Lytechinus pictus: one gene and its partner. The protein of the gene in region 2 purifies or fractionates together with the protein of the main gene of each other region. This does not show direct contact. Links are inferred from orthologs where the notes say so. Each region holds a gene or a part of one and is shown on either strand. Other genes may lie near its edges.

Region 1 (7,652 bases), on a different chromosome or scaffold from region 2:
GTGAGTTTTGCGATATTTTCTTCTTGGACTTGGACTTGGTTAATGATCTAGAAATTATGTTTGCCACAAATTAGTGAAAGATATTTGTTGAAATATTAAAATTGGGATAGTTTTTATTGTTTGAAAACAAAGTGCGTAGCTTAAGTTTAGGTCCCTCCATCATATATTTCATTATTCTAAAAGTCATCATCATTGGTACGTCCTCAACTCGACTACATTGCCTCATGCGCATGAATTAAACGAGGCGAGCAGCTGGCGTAGCGGCGGCGGCTGGCGCTGGCGCAGCTGCGCAGCCAGGGCCGAGGGATGCCGAGTTCGAGAAGTTGACGGAGAATCAAACTTACCGTCTCATAATCGCTGTTTTCTTCTTCACTTTCGCTGCCACTGGCGCTGCTACTAGCACTACTCCCCATGTTGTCCCCAACAGGGTGCTTTAGAGAGAAGGCTACTAACTATACTGCAGATACTTTCTTTAAATCACCTCAATACAACATCCTCCAAAAATTCTGCATTCAGATTATATTATGACAAGGGCGCAGACATTTTGAATGACGTAATATTGTTCAGCTCGCGCTAGATCGTAGCGCGCGCAATCCAGCTTGAGTCCGGAGTGCGCTAGGCGGATCCAGGAGGGCGAGGGGCCGCCGCCACCGCCCCCCCCCCCCCCCCCCCCACTGATCTAGAGCTCAACTAACAGTTGGGCCGCCCCATGGGCCGCCCCCCGGGGGGCCTATTAACGGCGCAACAAAAAAATAAAAGAGGGGGGGGGAGAAACAGATATTGAAGGGTCATTAAGGAGAGGAGAATTGAAGGAAGAAGAAAAATATAAGAGGAGGAAGACGAGTACATAATATAGGTGAGGGCGGCCGGGCCGCGGGATCGAAGACTTGGAAAAAAAATTAATGTCAGTATGAAAAAAAGCGCTTCGTGCTCGCATTGCCAGTCATTTACTGATGAGATACATATAGGCGATCATAGGCTGAAATGGTGCTTAATAGCACCATTTCACGGTCATGCAAATAGGCCTGTTATAGATTGAGATAATCCTTTTCATGAAAATTCACGAGTTCTTAATTATGGAAGTTTAAAGTGCCATCCAGATAATCATCTCATCATGTCTACATCAAGAGGCGTCAATCCGGGAGTGGGGGGGGGGGGGGGCAGCGGGGTGATCGCCCCACCAGGGGGGGGCAAACATATTGTTTTGCCCCCCCCCCCATAATTCCAGATGTGCAAAAATAAAATCACATTGTAATGTTACATAGAAATCGGCAAGTGAGTTTGAAATACAAAAACTCGTTCTTTATATAAAATCGTGCTCAAATTGAATGTCCGCTTTTCAGATTGGAATATAAAAATATTCAGCTCGCGCTTCGCTCTCGCATGATTAAATAGGTGAATAATGTGCCGTTTTCACTTCTATATTAAACCCCAAAAGATCTTTTGTTGGATATATTAATTGTTCTTTATTAAAAACGTCCATTGAACTGTCAATTTTTTCAGATCGAAATATCAAAATTTTCAGCTTGCGCACTTCGCGCTCTTATCTATTGTTCTTTTAGATACCCATCTTAATCTATATTTAGAATATCGAGCTTTCAGCTCCGAATATAACAAAATTCTATCTCTCTCTCGGCACTCGCATTGATCTGTGTAGTGAGATATGTATCCTCCCCGAGTTATACTACAAACAGTCCTAAACAGGTACCTTTTCCTGTTTTTAGGTCAGTATACTAAAAAAATTCAGCCCGCATTCGCGCTCGCATTAATTTGTTGTTGAGATATGTACGTGTCTCTTTCTCATCATGAGACATATACTATATATATATATATATATATATAGGGCCTACAGTGCGTATTAAAAAAACGGGACAGATTTGAAAGGTCTATAAAATTTTTGTTATGATGTCTATATTTTGGTGTTAATAGGTGCTCTGGGGTGGTATTCTGAGATCCATTTTATCTCAGATAAAATAAAATATTTTATCTCCGTTAAAATCAGTGAGATAAAATACCCTTAAAATCTCTCCGAATTGGTATTCTGAGAGCAATTTTATCTTCATTTTATCTATGTAAGACACACCTACTTTTTAATCAATATCCAACTAGAAACGCGCTTTAGCTCTCTCGTGTCACTCTTAAACCAATTGAAATCCATTCCGCCAGGAGGTGTGGCAAAGGGGTGAGATTGCGTTAATTTATCGACTTCAAATACGCTTGCACTATACGCTTGCTCGTCTTTACAGATATTTCTTTTTAACAAAAAGGACAATACTCTCATTTTTTTTCGAAGTCTATATCACATCTTTTCAAGCAACATATCAAAGACAATATTAGTCAAGACAAGTCTTATGAAATACTTCTGATTGTACAGGAATAACGTTAAGGTGTTATTCTCAATAAATATATAATTTTTCTTCATTTTTATGTCAACATTTTAGAAATATTGGTGAAATCAACGTCGCGGAGATAAAATAGCCCCTACCCTCTTTTAAGTTTATTTTATTTTTTTCTTCAAAGTAACTTGGGCGCAAGCACATCATCCGCGTTGCAATACCCAGATACGCGATCGGTATCGTCTACGCAGGCACTGTTCTGATGCGTATCATCTATAGTTACGCAAGATAAATTTTTTATGCAAGATAAAATTGTAAATTTTATCTGAGAGATAAAATGTCATCTCAGAATACCAATTTCGTTTTAAGAGATAAAATAAAATATTTTAAAGATAAAATGACCTCAGAATACCGCCCCTGAAGTCTTATCTTTCAAATGCCATTAAAAAAAATTTAGTTTTGTTCATGCTTTAGCAAACACGGAATGTTTTTGTCTGGGGCTAAAAAAGGAGGCTTGCGCCAAAATGGCATAAAATGATAATGATGATCGGACTTCTCGCTAATCAGCAGATTATCTTTGCCATAATTTTCGAATTATGCCGTCAAAATTCATTTTCAAATCTGTTTATTTGCTTGAATTTGTCTGTTGTTTCTTTTTAATATGTTCTCTTCTAGCTTTAAATTTTCCTTCTTTAAGCAAAAAAAAAAAAATCAACCGAAGTATGGGAGAGTGTGTATTTTTTCAAATCCTTTCATTGTGTGCTACAAAGGTTATGGTGATTTTGAACAGTGGCATACAGATGGGCGGGGGCTCGGGGCGTCCCCCCCCCCCCCCAATAAAAAAAAGTGGAAAGGAAATAAAAGGAAAGATAGAAAGTGAAATATGATTTCTTTCCTGAATATTATGTCAAAATATATCACAAAATTTGATATTTTATTTAAAAAGTGGAAATTTTTGCCTGCTCGCTCACTACTTTTTTAAATACATTTCATCCGATCAGGGGCCCGTTGCAGAAAGAGTTGCAATCAATTGCAACTCGAAAAATCATGCGTAACTTGATTTTCAACCAATCATCAGCGCACATTTGGGACTTGCGATTGATTTTTTGACTTGCGTTTAAACGCAACTCTTTCTGCAACGGACCCCTGCCATTATAGATATCTATAGCTCCTTCAAAATTGACTAAATACACCATTGCCATTGAAAGACGTGAATCCTTTCCTGTTTGTCGGCGTGAATCCTTTCCCGTTTGTCGGCCTGTCAAGCGCATAATTAAACTTGGTCTAAAAAATCCCTTGAAAATAGGATTCATGTTATTTAAAGGTACCATAACATAATTTGTTTCTCATAATAAAATACGATTTGAATAATTACAAGTTCTCCCAATTATAATGCAATCTTCATGCTTGGATTGACAAAAAGTCTTCTTTTCTTACTTATGAAGGAAATTCAAATGTTAAAGAAGTTTCAATGAAAAAAAACCAAAATAATTCAAGTAAATAAGTAAATTTGTAAATGAAATTTGACAGCATATTCGAAAATCATGGCAAAGATAATGAAAAGGTTAAGAGGAAGTCTGATAATTAGCAAGAAGTCTATCATGCAAATTTCTCATTTCTGCCATTTTGGCGCAAGCCTCTCTTTGAACCCCCGACTAAAACGTCCCGTGTTCGCTAAAGCATGACATTTTTTTTTTTTTGGGGGGGGGGCATATTTCAAAGATTGGATTTCAGAGCATCTATTAACATCAAAATATAGATATCATAATTTGAAACAAATTTTTTTATAGACTTTTCAAAACTGTCCCGTTTTTTTTATACGCACTGTATATATAATTATATATATATCATATATTTACATATATACAAATATATGATATATATATATATATACATATATATATATGTATATATGTATATATGTATATATATATATATATATATATATATATATAATATATATATAATATATATATATATATATATATATATATATTTATATATATAAAGAAGACTTATAATATATATATATATATATACCTGAAAAGTGACATCACTCTTCTTCTTCTTCTTCCTCCTCCTCCTACGCTATTTGTTTGTTTCTTCTATTTTCTTTGTTCGTGTTTTTTCCTGGTATGTTTTGTTTCGGTTTCTTATTATGCTACGTACTTTCTGGGTCCTTTTTGAGGACGGAAAGTTCTCGGTAATTTTCGCTTTTATAAATTTTGAGTTCACGGGTACAGGTACGAGGTAGTGCGCGCTGATCGGGCCGCCACGCGCGCAACATGCACACGATTTTAACTTCCGCAAATTACGTAGGTGATCAACACGGTACGGGATCGGGAAACACCGAGAAGTTTCGCAACAAAGTTACAAAAAAACGACTCAGAAACAATAAGGCATGATAAAGTTTCTTCAAGTGGGACCTGTATAGATTCTTCACATTTTGGAAAACAGCAATCGAAGGACTAATGTTACGTTGACGTTCGTTTTGAAGACGTTGAGAGTAGGAATCGCACACTGCCTAGGCGTGTGTACAAACTCATGAACTTATTCTTGTGGTTCTTGTGTTGTGTGGAGTCTCACTCAGCGCATAGAGAAGAGTGTGTAGATTTAGTGCGTGTGCAGCATTGCCATTGGCAGACAAGACAGGCTGCTGTCAGTGTCAGACTGTTGTGAGAGTTTTTTTGTTGTTGGCAGATTAACCTGCAATAAATAGGATCAGTCTGTACGGTATAACATGAACATTCATTGAGCAGGATTTATTGGAAAGTATGGAGTACGTGGCACAATTTGACTTTACGCCATCAAAGGATGATCAGGATGAACTTGGCTTCAAGAAAGGCGAAGTATTGAAGGTAGACCTAACATTGCAAGTTAGATCAGGATTCAGGGCAGCGGTAATCCTAAAGTAATGTGGTTTCACACCGGCTGACTTCGAGCAAATTTCCCCACCAGAAATTGATTGGCCTTGTAATACAATGGTTAGCAATTAATCGCTAAATGAAATGGCCTATCACGATCAGTGTTGCACGTGAATTTTGTTCAGTTGGCTGACAAGGAACCATTCAGAATTGTTCTTTCATATTAGCAATTAATCGCTAAGATTTGTGTTACGGGGCCCTGGATCGGAATTGACCTGTTTCTAAGGCTGTTTCAATCTATTTGGCATTGAAGAAGTGCATTATACAGTGTGAAAGGAAGTCCAGTGGATAGATGTAGACAAGTTAGACTGAGTGATATATCCGCTGTTTCTGAGGATTTTTTAAAAACATTTCAGATTTTTTTCCTACTACTAAGTACTAGGGCTACACAGACGGATGTCGGCCATAGGGCTCATAATGTATGTTCGACCGATGCTAACTACAGTATCTATGGAAAAAAGGGTTCGCTTCCGCATCCTCTTCGATTACTCCTTGGCCTGGGCTGGTTGTCAATGTCTTTAATATTTAACAACACTTTCTATGCCACTACATGTATTTCTAGGTGTGATACGGGATGTGTTTCAAAATATGTTTCAAGAAGAGGAAAGATGGGTCTTGTGTCCTTTTAGCTGCTACCAGGAGTAATTTTCCTGTTATTTCATAGCAATTTTCTCCACATTTTTTTTTCTACACAAAAGGTGTTTAGCAGATACAGTACAGAACATAGTTGGTGTCTTTTCTCTTATGACCAAAAATACTAAGAGAAAAGTCTGTAACTAATTTATTTACAGTGATGTAAAAATCTGCAGTCTTTAGATAAAGGTCAAGTCCACTCCAGAAAAATGTCAATTTTGATAAAAAGAGAAAAATCAAACTAGCATAATGCTGAAATTTCCATCAAATCGGATGTAAAATGACAAAGTTATGACATTTTATAATTTTGTTTACATGTATTTTTCACAAAACAGTAGGCCTACAACTCGGTGTCATGCAAATTAGACAATCGATGATGTCCCTCACTATTTCTTTTGGTATTTATTTCTTGAATTATACATTATTTCATTTTTGTATCACCTGCATAGCATAGTGAGACTACAGGCAACGCTTTTCTGAGGGCGGCGGTGACGTCAACACCAAATCTTAACCGAAGATTAAATTTTTGAAAGGACAGCATAAGTTAGAAAATATATGGACCTAGTTCATGAAACTTGGACATAAAGTTAATCAAGTATTACTGAACATCCTGCCTGAGTTTCAAGTCACATGACCAAGGGCAAAGGTCATTTAGGGTCAATGAACTTTGGCCAAGTTGGGGTATCTGTTGAATTACCATCATAACTTTGAATGTTTATGGATCTGATTTCTGATTCATGAAACTTGGACATTAGAGTAATCAAATATCACTGAGCATCCTGTGCGAGTTTCAGGTCACATGATTAAGGTCAAATGTCATTTAAAGCTAAATGAACGTAGTTGCAGTCAAACACTGATTTTGTGAGAAAGTCTGTAAAACCAAGGTAAAGTATTGATATATCATCGTGGATCTAGATCTGGTACAGTTACATAAACTGAATTTTGTGAAATCATAATATCTAGCTAAAAAACTATCACACTGAAGATCGCCAACACAGATAGGCACACGTGGGACAGTGTATTATTATTGCTGGAATAAAGACCCGACGGAAGTGACCGAATCCGCACTTATTTTGCTTATTTCTCAGCAATTACACAATTTCTTCAAGAATCCTTTGGCACATATTTTTTATTCATACAAACAGACACTTTGGTGATCATTGTATTAAATTCTGTAAAAAGTCATTTTGAGATCATTCCCAAAACTGGAATTTACCTTTAAGGTCAATGAACTTTGGCCAAGTTGGGGGTATTTGTTGAATTACCATCATAACTTTGAAAGTTTATTGGTCTAGTTCTTAAAACCTGGACATAAGAGTAATCAAGTATCACTAAACATCCTGTGCGAATTTCAGGTCACATGACCAAGGTCGAAGGTCAATGAACTTCGGCCATGTTGGGGGTATTTGTTGAATTACCATCATAAACTCTGTAAGTGTATGGATCTAGTTCATAAAACATAAGAGTAATCAAGTATCACTGAGCATCTCCTTTGAGTTTCAGGTCACATGACCAAATTCAAAGGTCATTGAACTTTGGCCATTTTGGAGGTAATTATTAGATTCCTGTTATAACTTTCAGTTTATAGATATACATGTAGTTTATAAATATGGATATCAAGTATCACTGACAAGTCGTAGGTCGCACGATCAAGGTCAAATGTCATTTATTGTAAATGAATGTAGTATTGTATCATATGAATGGTGTTTTTTGTGAATAATAGTAGTTTTCGAAGTCAGCACTGCTGCTATATTGAATC
Region 2 (7,131 bases):
TAGACTTAGTACGCTGGTAGAAAATTATGCTTTACAGTGACACAAATACAATAAATGTTTGTTAAATCATGTTGTCTTTGATAAAATACTAATGATGTTTTTGGGAAGTATTTAGAGATTGAGAATAATAGAATCATCCTCTTCTTTTTGGTAAGGTAGGAAAATTTGTATGTACATGTAGAGCATTGGAAGGGTCCATTCGAGATTTGGCAACATCATTCAGTGTGTTCACTGTCATGTCGTATGACTAAGTTTTAAAAAAATCAAATGAACTTTGGTGTACGAGTGTCAGCTCTGCCAAAGAGCCTAAAATCTTTTAAACTTACGCTTTGAAGACCCTTATATAGACATAGCAATAAGTGTTGACAATGACAATCACCAGAATTCTATAGTTCTATGAGATGTTATATTCTACTAGGAGAAGCTTAGAAGGAAACACACTGAACAGTATACTCTGAGTAGAAATCCTTGATGGAATTGCGATAGATACTCTATAGCAGCTCGTGGCTGTATACCTCCAAAAATAAAGTGATACCGAACACCCAAGATGTGTAAATAATACACCCATCTAAGGTACCACCAGCCCCAAGCCATTCTCACCCCCCTTGTCATACCCCCTTCATCTTGCCTTCAGCTATGGCTTTAGCTTTCACTTATGCACCAGTGATGGTTTGATTTGAAAATAATTCATCTTTTCTTGTGGTTGGCCCACTGTATTCATTTAGGGTATCGTGTGTTGTAATCAAACAGTGACACATTCGTAGAAAGTACACGGCTTTCATTATTACCAGCGCATTAAATCCCGGTAAGCAGTGAAATTTATTTTCTTGCCCCCATTTCATTCCTAGAAATATTTGACTCTCAATTTTTAAAGTGTGAGTAATGATATTGAGTCCTTGGGATGTGGAATAGATGCCCTTTTCTTTGTAAATAATACTTTGTCTTTTTATTAAAATGTCACATTTGAAACGAAGGTCTTGTACCCAAGTGCGTTTCAAATTGTAAAAGTAAATTTGAGCTAGGAAAACGAGGAAAAAAACTTCATCAGCAAAGCTGTTGTGGTGTAGGCCTGTATGCTGACAAAAACCTTCAATACACATAACGTAGAAGTACTATGATGACTTTTTGATACAACACAACATCGACCTCTGTGGAATTTAGGTCAGCATGAGGTCGTGTGGGGTCATTGACCAACTTTCCTTCATGGGGGGGGGGGGGGGAGTGATTGACATCTGATCTCGTCATATATGATAAGCGGGGTTCATTAAGAAAGTGATCATTAGTGAGATCATTTGTCAAATCTAAGGCCATTTATTCTTCTGGGAAATTTGTTCATCTTCTATTGCTCCATTCCTGAGATGTTGAATAACTACCAGTCTCTATCTCAGAAATCATTTGATTACTTGTTGATAAGCAGAGACATCAGAAAATTCATAAATTATCCTTCCTGATATTCGTTTGATGGGAAGACTGCAAGGTTCTGAAAAGGCATGACAGGCCAAAATTCTATTCAGTAATGGAAGTATTTTGCGCGATATATTTCAATTTTGGCTCATTCTGAAGTTATTTAGTCATATGTGGTCAGTAGATTTTTCATTGCTTGTTATTTAAATAGAAATATCACTAAGGTTTATTGCATACTGACTTAGAAGAACTTTCAAAGCATCTTCTTCTGGTCATATATATAAAATTCGAGAGGTCTTCTGAATGTACATATATTAAAAGATGAGTGAGAAGGTTATAGTGAGAATGAGAGATGCATTAAATTGTTACATGTACACAAAACAGCTAAAACAGCACCATAAGTAGATGAAAGTATACAAAACAGAAACTCTACAGTGATATTTTACCCAGTATTTGTAAAAATTCATGCCTCCTCAATGTCTCCTTGATGTCTCAATGTTCCCAAACAGAGAATTTCAACATACCTTCTTGACCCCTTGTCTTTCAAGACCCTAGATATCAAGTAACAACTTGAATGTCAGATACTTTACTCTTCTGTGTATGACCCAAGAAGTTTTTAATGGATGACTCAACTTTAGGTTGCCATGGTACTACAGCTATGTTACAAGAGGGCCAAGTATTTAGTGAGGTTTTGTTACATTCTTGTCTGACCTGCTATGACCTTTGACCTTGGGGTTGTTGATGATATGTTGATAATTAGAACTTGATACTGGGAGTTGTCCCATCCTATTTGGGTTTTATTTGCAAGTGTTTTTGCAGTGTCTTCTGTTAATTTGATGTGATTCATGTTACTTCTTGTAGTGGCTATTGCACATTCTGTTTCAACAAACTAGACCGATACCTGATGCCTGTAATGTAAGCCCTATATGAATTGTACCCCTCTCTTCCCCCCAACAATATGGGTCCTTGACAAGTCGTATTCTGGCAGGAAAACTTACGAATTGCAATGTTTTTACATTGCATCTCTATAATGTAAAACCATGTAGGTCCATATTGGTTTCAGCCTACATCTCATATGTTAAAACATATTCACACAGTGATGAAGTAAAATAAGTAAAGTATAAAGCTTACATCAATTAAAAATAATGGACACATGGAAGTAAGGAAAATAAAGATAATGTGGAAATTAAATTCAAGTTACCCAATTAAATTTGAAAAGAGGTGCTTCAATCGCAGTTTAATAAGCAAAGATTTTGTAGTGACTTTGTAAAACTATTATGGATATGTAGGAACCTAGAACACCTTTGTATGGAAGAATGCAGTCAGATATTATTGAGAGCCTTCTTGGGTGATGGATTTGTGAATATAATTCTGTTTTTAGACATTCAACCCCTTGTTTAGACTTTGTTTTACCAATTTCAAGATCAATTGATGGTGGCATCCCCAGGTTAACATTACAACAGAAGAGATGAAATCATATTTTCTCTTTTCTAGCCCAATTTAGTGTTGTAAATCTTTTGAGGTAAAACACCTGTAAGAAATGCCAGATCGTACAAGTTCAGAGGTTAGGCTCGATAGCTGTAGGGGTAAAGGGGCATGTCCCCCTCTCCCATTTTACTCCAACCATCCACTATCTTTCAATATGAGCTGTCATGCAGTGAGTGACACACTTAACTGTTTCTTTTCATGTTTGCGTTAAAAAAATATGACACCATTTAAAATGTATCCATCTTATTTTCACAGTTTGTTCCTTTATATCAAAAGTTTGATAGGTTTGCAAACACTTTTGTCTCAACATGAATGATGTTTGTAGTAATACAGATTTACAGAAATATACACCAAAATCGTGACTGACCCCCCCCCCTCCCTTTCACCCACCACCAAAATGCATCAATTTTTCATTTGTTTAAATGATGGTTTGATTTTTAAATGTTCATCCCAAATCAAAGTACACCTGGACATGCCCTCTTTGACATAGCTGGTTTTGACCCATATCAGGCAATCATAGTGTAAAGCAACCCCAATATCAAAGTCAGGTATCAAGGGATTGCCACTTTGACGTAATACCAAATAAATGACCCACTTTTCACAGATCCTAAGCTAATCTCACTGAAAATGATATGAGTATTATATTTTGAAGGCTATAATTATATGGATGCAAAATCAGTATCAATTGGTACTGGCTTTTATGTTTTGTAATTACAGGTTTTTTTTTGTAACCACATTGGCATTTTCACAAGGTTATGATTACTAGTATTCACACTTTAATTTTTAGCATACAAAGATATATGAAAGGCAGGAACAATTTCTGACCAAATAGTTTCTTCATAAAAAACAGGCAATTTTTTTTATAATAGCTGAAACATTTATAGATTTTAACTCAGATAATGTCAAATTATGGAAAATTACTTCACTTTGTTTGCAGCATGTGCCCTTTCACTTTAGATTATACGATTTAATAGAAATATGAATCAATTATAGTGTAATGAATAGGAAACATAAATTTTGTAATTCTAATACCTGGAAGACAGAGTTTACTAGTATTACTTTACCTGTGATTAGGTTTATGTTTTACCTGTGAAAACTGGTTTCTGGCAGGTACTTGTCTCTGGTGTGTTTTCTGAGTATCTAAACACAGGTTTCAATCAAAATATGAAACACATCAAAGATAGAATGATGTGATATTTTGATACCAGTATTCCCAATTGGTATGGATTGGAATGTAGTAGAACAAGCTCAATGGAACAAGCTCAGCAGAGACTCACACAGCAGTTTGTGCCTGGGTGAGTGGAGGGGAGGAGGGAGGTGGGGGGGGGGGGTGGGGTGGAGAGGAGGAGGGAGGGAGGGGGGTGCAGAGGGAAATAGTGTGCATTATGATCAATATAGCTCAGGCAAGTGTGGTTATAATGATCAATGCTAAAGATATGCTGTTTTAGGGGTTTAAGTTGTATTATTTTCCGAATACAATAAAAAATAATTTCTGTATGCTCTATTCTCATTCACAGTGCCTACATTTAGTTGTGACCTTCCCCTTAATCCATGCTATAGAATTGAAATTTGTCATACCAGTATTTAATTTGTTTCTTTTGTTTTTATCTTCTTACAGTATGTACTGGCACAGATCAAGGTACCGCTAAACCATACAACAGCGATACTGCCGGAGCAAGGCAACAGTACTATGAAGATTTAAAGGAAAGATATACAAACTGTACATACGTTGACGGAAACCTGGAAATATCCTTTCTCCATGAGCAAGAATATGATCTTAGCTTTCTCTCATCGATACGGGAAGTCACAGGATATATTCTCATTCTCTTGACGTATTCCCGGGTGATACCGCTCACAAACTTACGGGTTATCAGAGGAACAAAGCTTTACGACGACAAGTACGCCCTCTATGTTGCATTGACGTTTCATACAGGAGATCCAGAAATAGCTACAGAAGAGATTTGGTTAACATCATTACATGGTAAGTCTATTGATAGCTATGTACCTAGTTATTATTTGTTGTCATACTTTGTTCATGTATTATTTTTGGGGTTTTGGTTTTTATTTAAAGTTAAAAACTTAAAAGATAAATATTCTATTAATGATGGGAATGTTTCCTGGATCCACATCGGCTCCTGAATAGCAGAAGTGAATAATATGAAAAATCAGCCAAGTTGAATGAAACAATTTCCAGAGATTCTGAAATAGCCTTGGGTAAAAGAAATAGACAATGAGTGTTGAATTGGTTATTGGTCTAATCTCACTCTGTCTAATTCTATGCTATCAATAAGAAGTCTTGATATCTAGCTGCTCCTTGGCCCATGCACCATTTTGGTATATATTTGAAATATTTCCATTGGTCTAAAACCTCTTTGTCTCTATGGTTTTATGAGCTAGAAGACCACAGGAGAAACACCAAATAGGTTTTTGACAATGGGGTAGTTCATTCAAACAGGTAGTGACCAGTATTTCATAAAAGGTGTTTAACACAAAAAAGCATAATGGGGTTTAAACATCCTCCTTGGTTCTTTAAGCACACTAAAATATTGGGAATATTCAAATGATGCCTATGTGTACATTTAGGGAGAATAAAATTGGATCAGATTCAGCATTTCAGCATGGGGCATCCTTAAAAACAAAGGCGAGGTAATATCTATGGTACACTTAAATTCTCAGCTGTGATATCAGATCAATGATTTTTGCTACGCTGATGTTTTTGACATGATCTGAACTGTCACATACTTCTTCCATAAATCCCAATCAAACGCTCGTATCGATGAATGATGATTAAACCAGGCGCGGATCCAGGGGGCACGTGCCCCCTTCCTTTTGAGAAGCAAAATTAAAAATTTGTAATGTAAAAATGCCATGAAAACAGAGGTGTGGCCCCTCTTTTGAAATTGAACACCTTTTTTTTTGGCTTGTCAAATTTTTTCGGGTACGAAATATCCTTAATTTGTTGTTGAAAACCTTTTTTTTTTTGGGGGGGGGGGGGCTTGTCAAAATTTTCCTCCGAAAAATTCCCCCCCCCCCTTTGGAAAATCCTGGATCCTCCCCTGATTAAACATACTGATTTTAAGATTAAAAAAGGAATTCAATCATATTAATCATGGTTTCATTCAATTTTTAAACTAGTATTGCTAAAATTGTGTTTTTTCTTGCAGAAATCTTGAAAGGAGATGTATACTTTCATCAGAATAATCAACTGTGCTATGTACAGACCATTGCCTGGGATGACATGCAACCTGGTTTGGTAGCCAACTTCTCAGTATGGGATGAACATCCACAACGTAACTGCTTAGGTGAGGACTATTTCATGTGCTTACAGCAAGAAAGGCATTAGCTACTTAGAAAGATAAACTTATTTTGCTCTTTAAATCTGTTAGTTGAGAAAATTTTTAAATAATGATACATAGGGACGTTGTCTCTGAGTATTTTAAAGATTACTAATGCAGTCATTGTATTCTATATGGTATACATATCCATAATTTTTATTTATGGAATGCAAGTACTTCTTTTATACACAATTTGATATGTGCAAGGTCAGTGCCACTTCCTCTTGTTAAAGTAATTTATAATTATTAATGTTTATCTTTGTTCATCTTCTTTTACACAGAACACCAATGTCATGAATCATGCAAGGGTCGATGCTGGGGTCCAGGAGAGGACCATTGTCAGATATGTGAGTAGACAATGTAATACATCATCATTCTCCTCAGTTATTTATTCATAATATGAAGATATTAAGCTCTATACATTTTGGTCCATTGAAATAGATAATATTTGAAATATTTCTAGAAGAATAAAGGGAAGCTGTTTCAATTGATTTTGCATTATTATTTTCTCCAAATCACTCAAAACTTTATTATCAGTCAATAACTTTGATCTATGGTTTGTATGTTTGAAAAGATAAAGCATGACATTTTTTTGCAGGAAGGTAAATTCTCGTCTTGTCACAAATGCTGAATGAAAGGCATTCTGTCATCTAACCTATAATACTGGAAATTTCTTTTTGTGAGTAAATGTCTAAATTTGTCCATGGATTTTACTTTTCATGTCTTGGTACACATAAATATTAAGTCTTTCCCTTTTCCTCTCTATAGTAACGCTAAAAGATTGCAGCTCAACATGCGACTACCGTTGTCGAGGTCCTACTCAGGCGGACTGCTGCCACAGAAGTTGCGCTGGGGGTTGCACCAATTCTTCTAATGCTGGATGTCTGGTGAGTTTGAACCCTGA

Evidence for each region. Proteins that work in one complex are often made in the same cells at the same time.
Region 1: the proteins of receptor tyrosine-protein kinase erbB-4-like (region 2) and growth factor receptor-bound protein 2-like purify together in Drosophila melanogaster (affinity purification with western blotting; 4 studies listed by BioGRID, with this or other methods). This does not show direct contact. The link is inferred for Lytechinus pictus from reciprocal best matches to the Drosophila melanogaster genes Egfr and drk.

The regions. Positions count from the first base shown.
Region 1 is NC_087254.1:17,166,853-17,174,504, forward strand, and holds the start of growth factor receptor-bound protein 2-like, read left to right. Parts: upstream 1-4,629; 5' UTR 4,630-5,110; coding exon 5,111-5,194; intron 5,195-7,652.
Region 2 is NC_087245.1:2,233,297-2,240,427, forward strand, and holds the start of receptor tyrosine-protein kinase erbB-4-like, read left to right. Parts: upstream 1-4,114; coding exon 4,115-4,187; intron 4,188-4,510; coding exon 4,511-4,873; intron 4,874-6,056; coding exon 6,057-6,194; intron 6,195-6,508; coding exon 6,509-6,574; intron 6,575-6,995; coding exon 6,996-7,114; intron 7,115-7,131. UniProt on the Drosophila melanogaster protein: Receptor tyrosine kinase, binding ligands of the EGF family and activating several signaling cascades to convert extracellular cues into appropriate cellular responses. Known ligands include spitz, gurken, vein and giant-lens.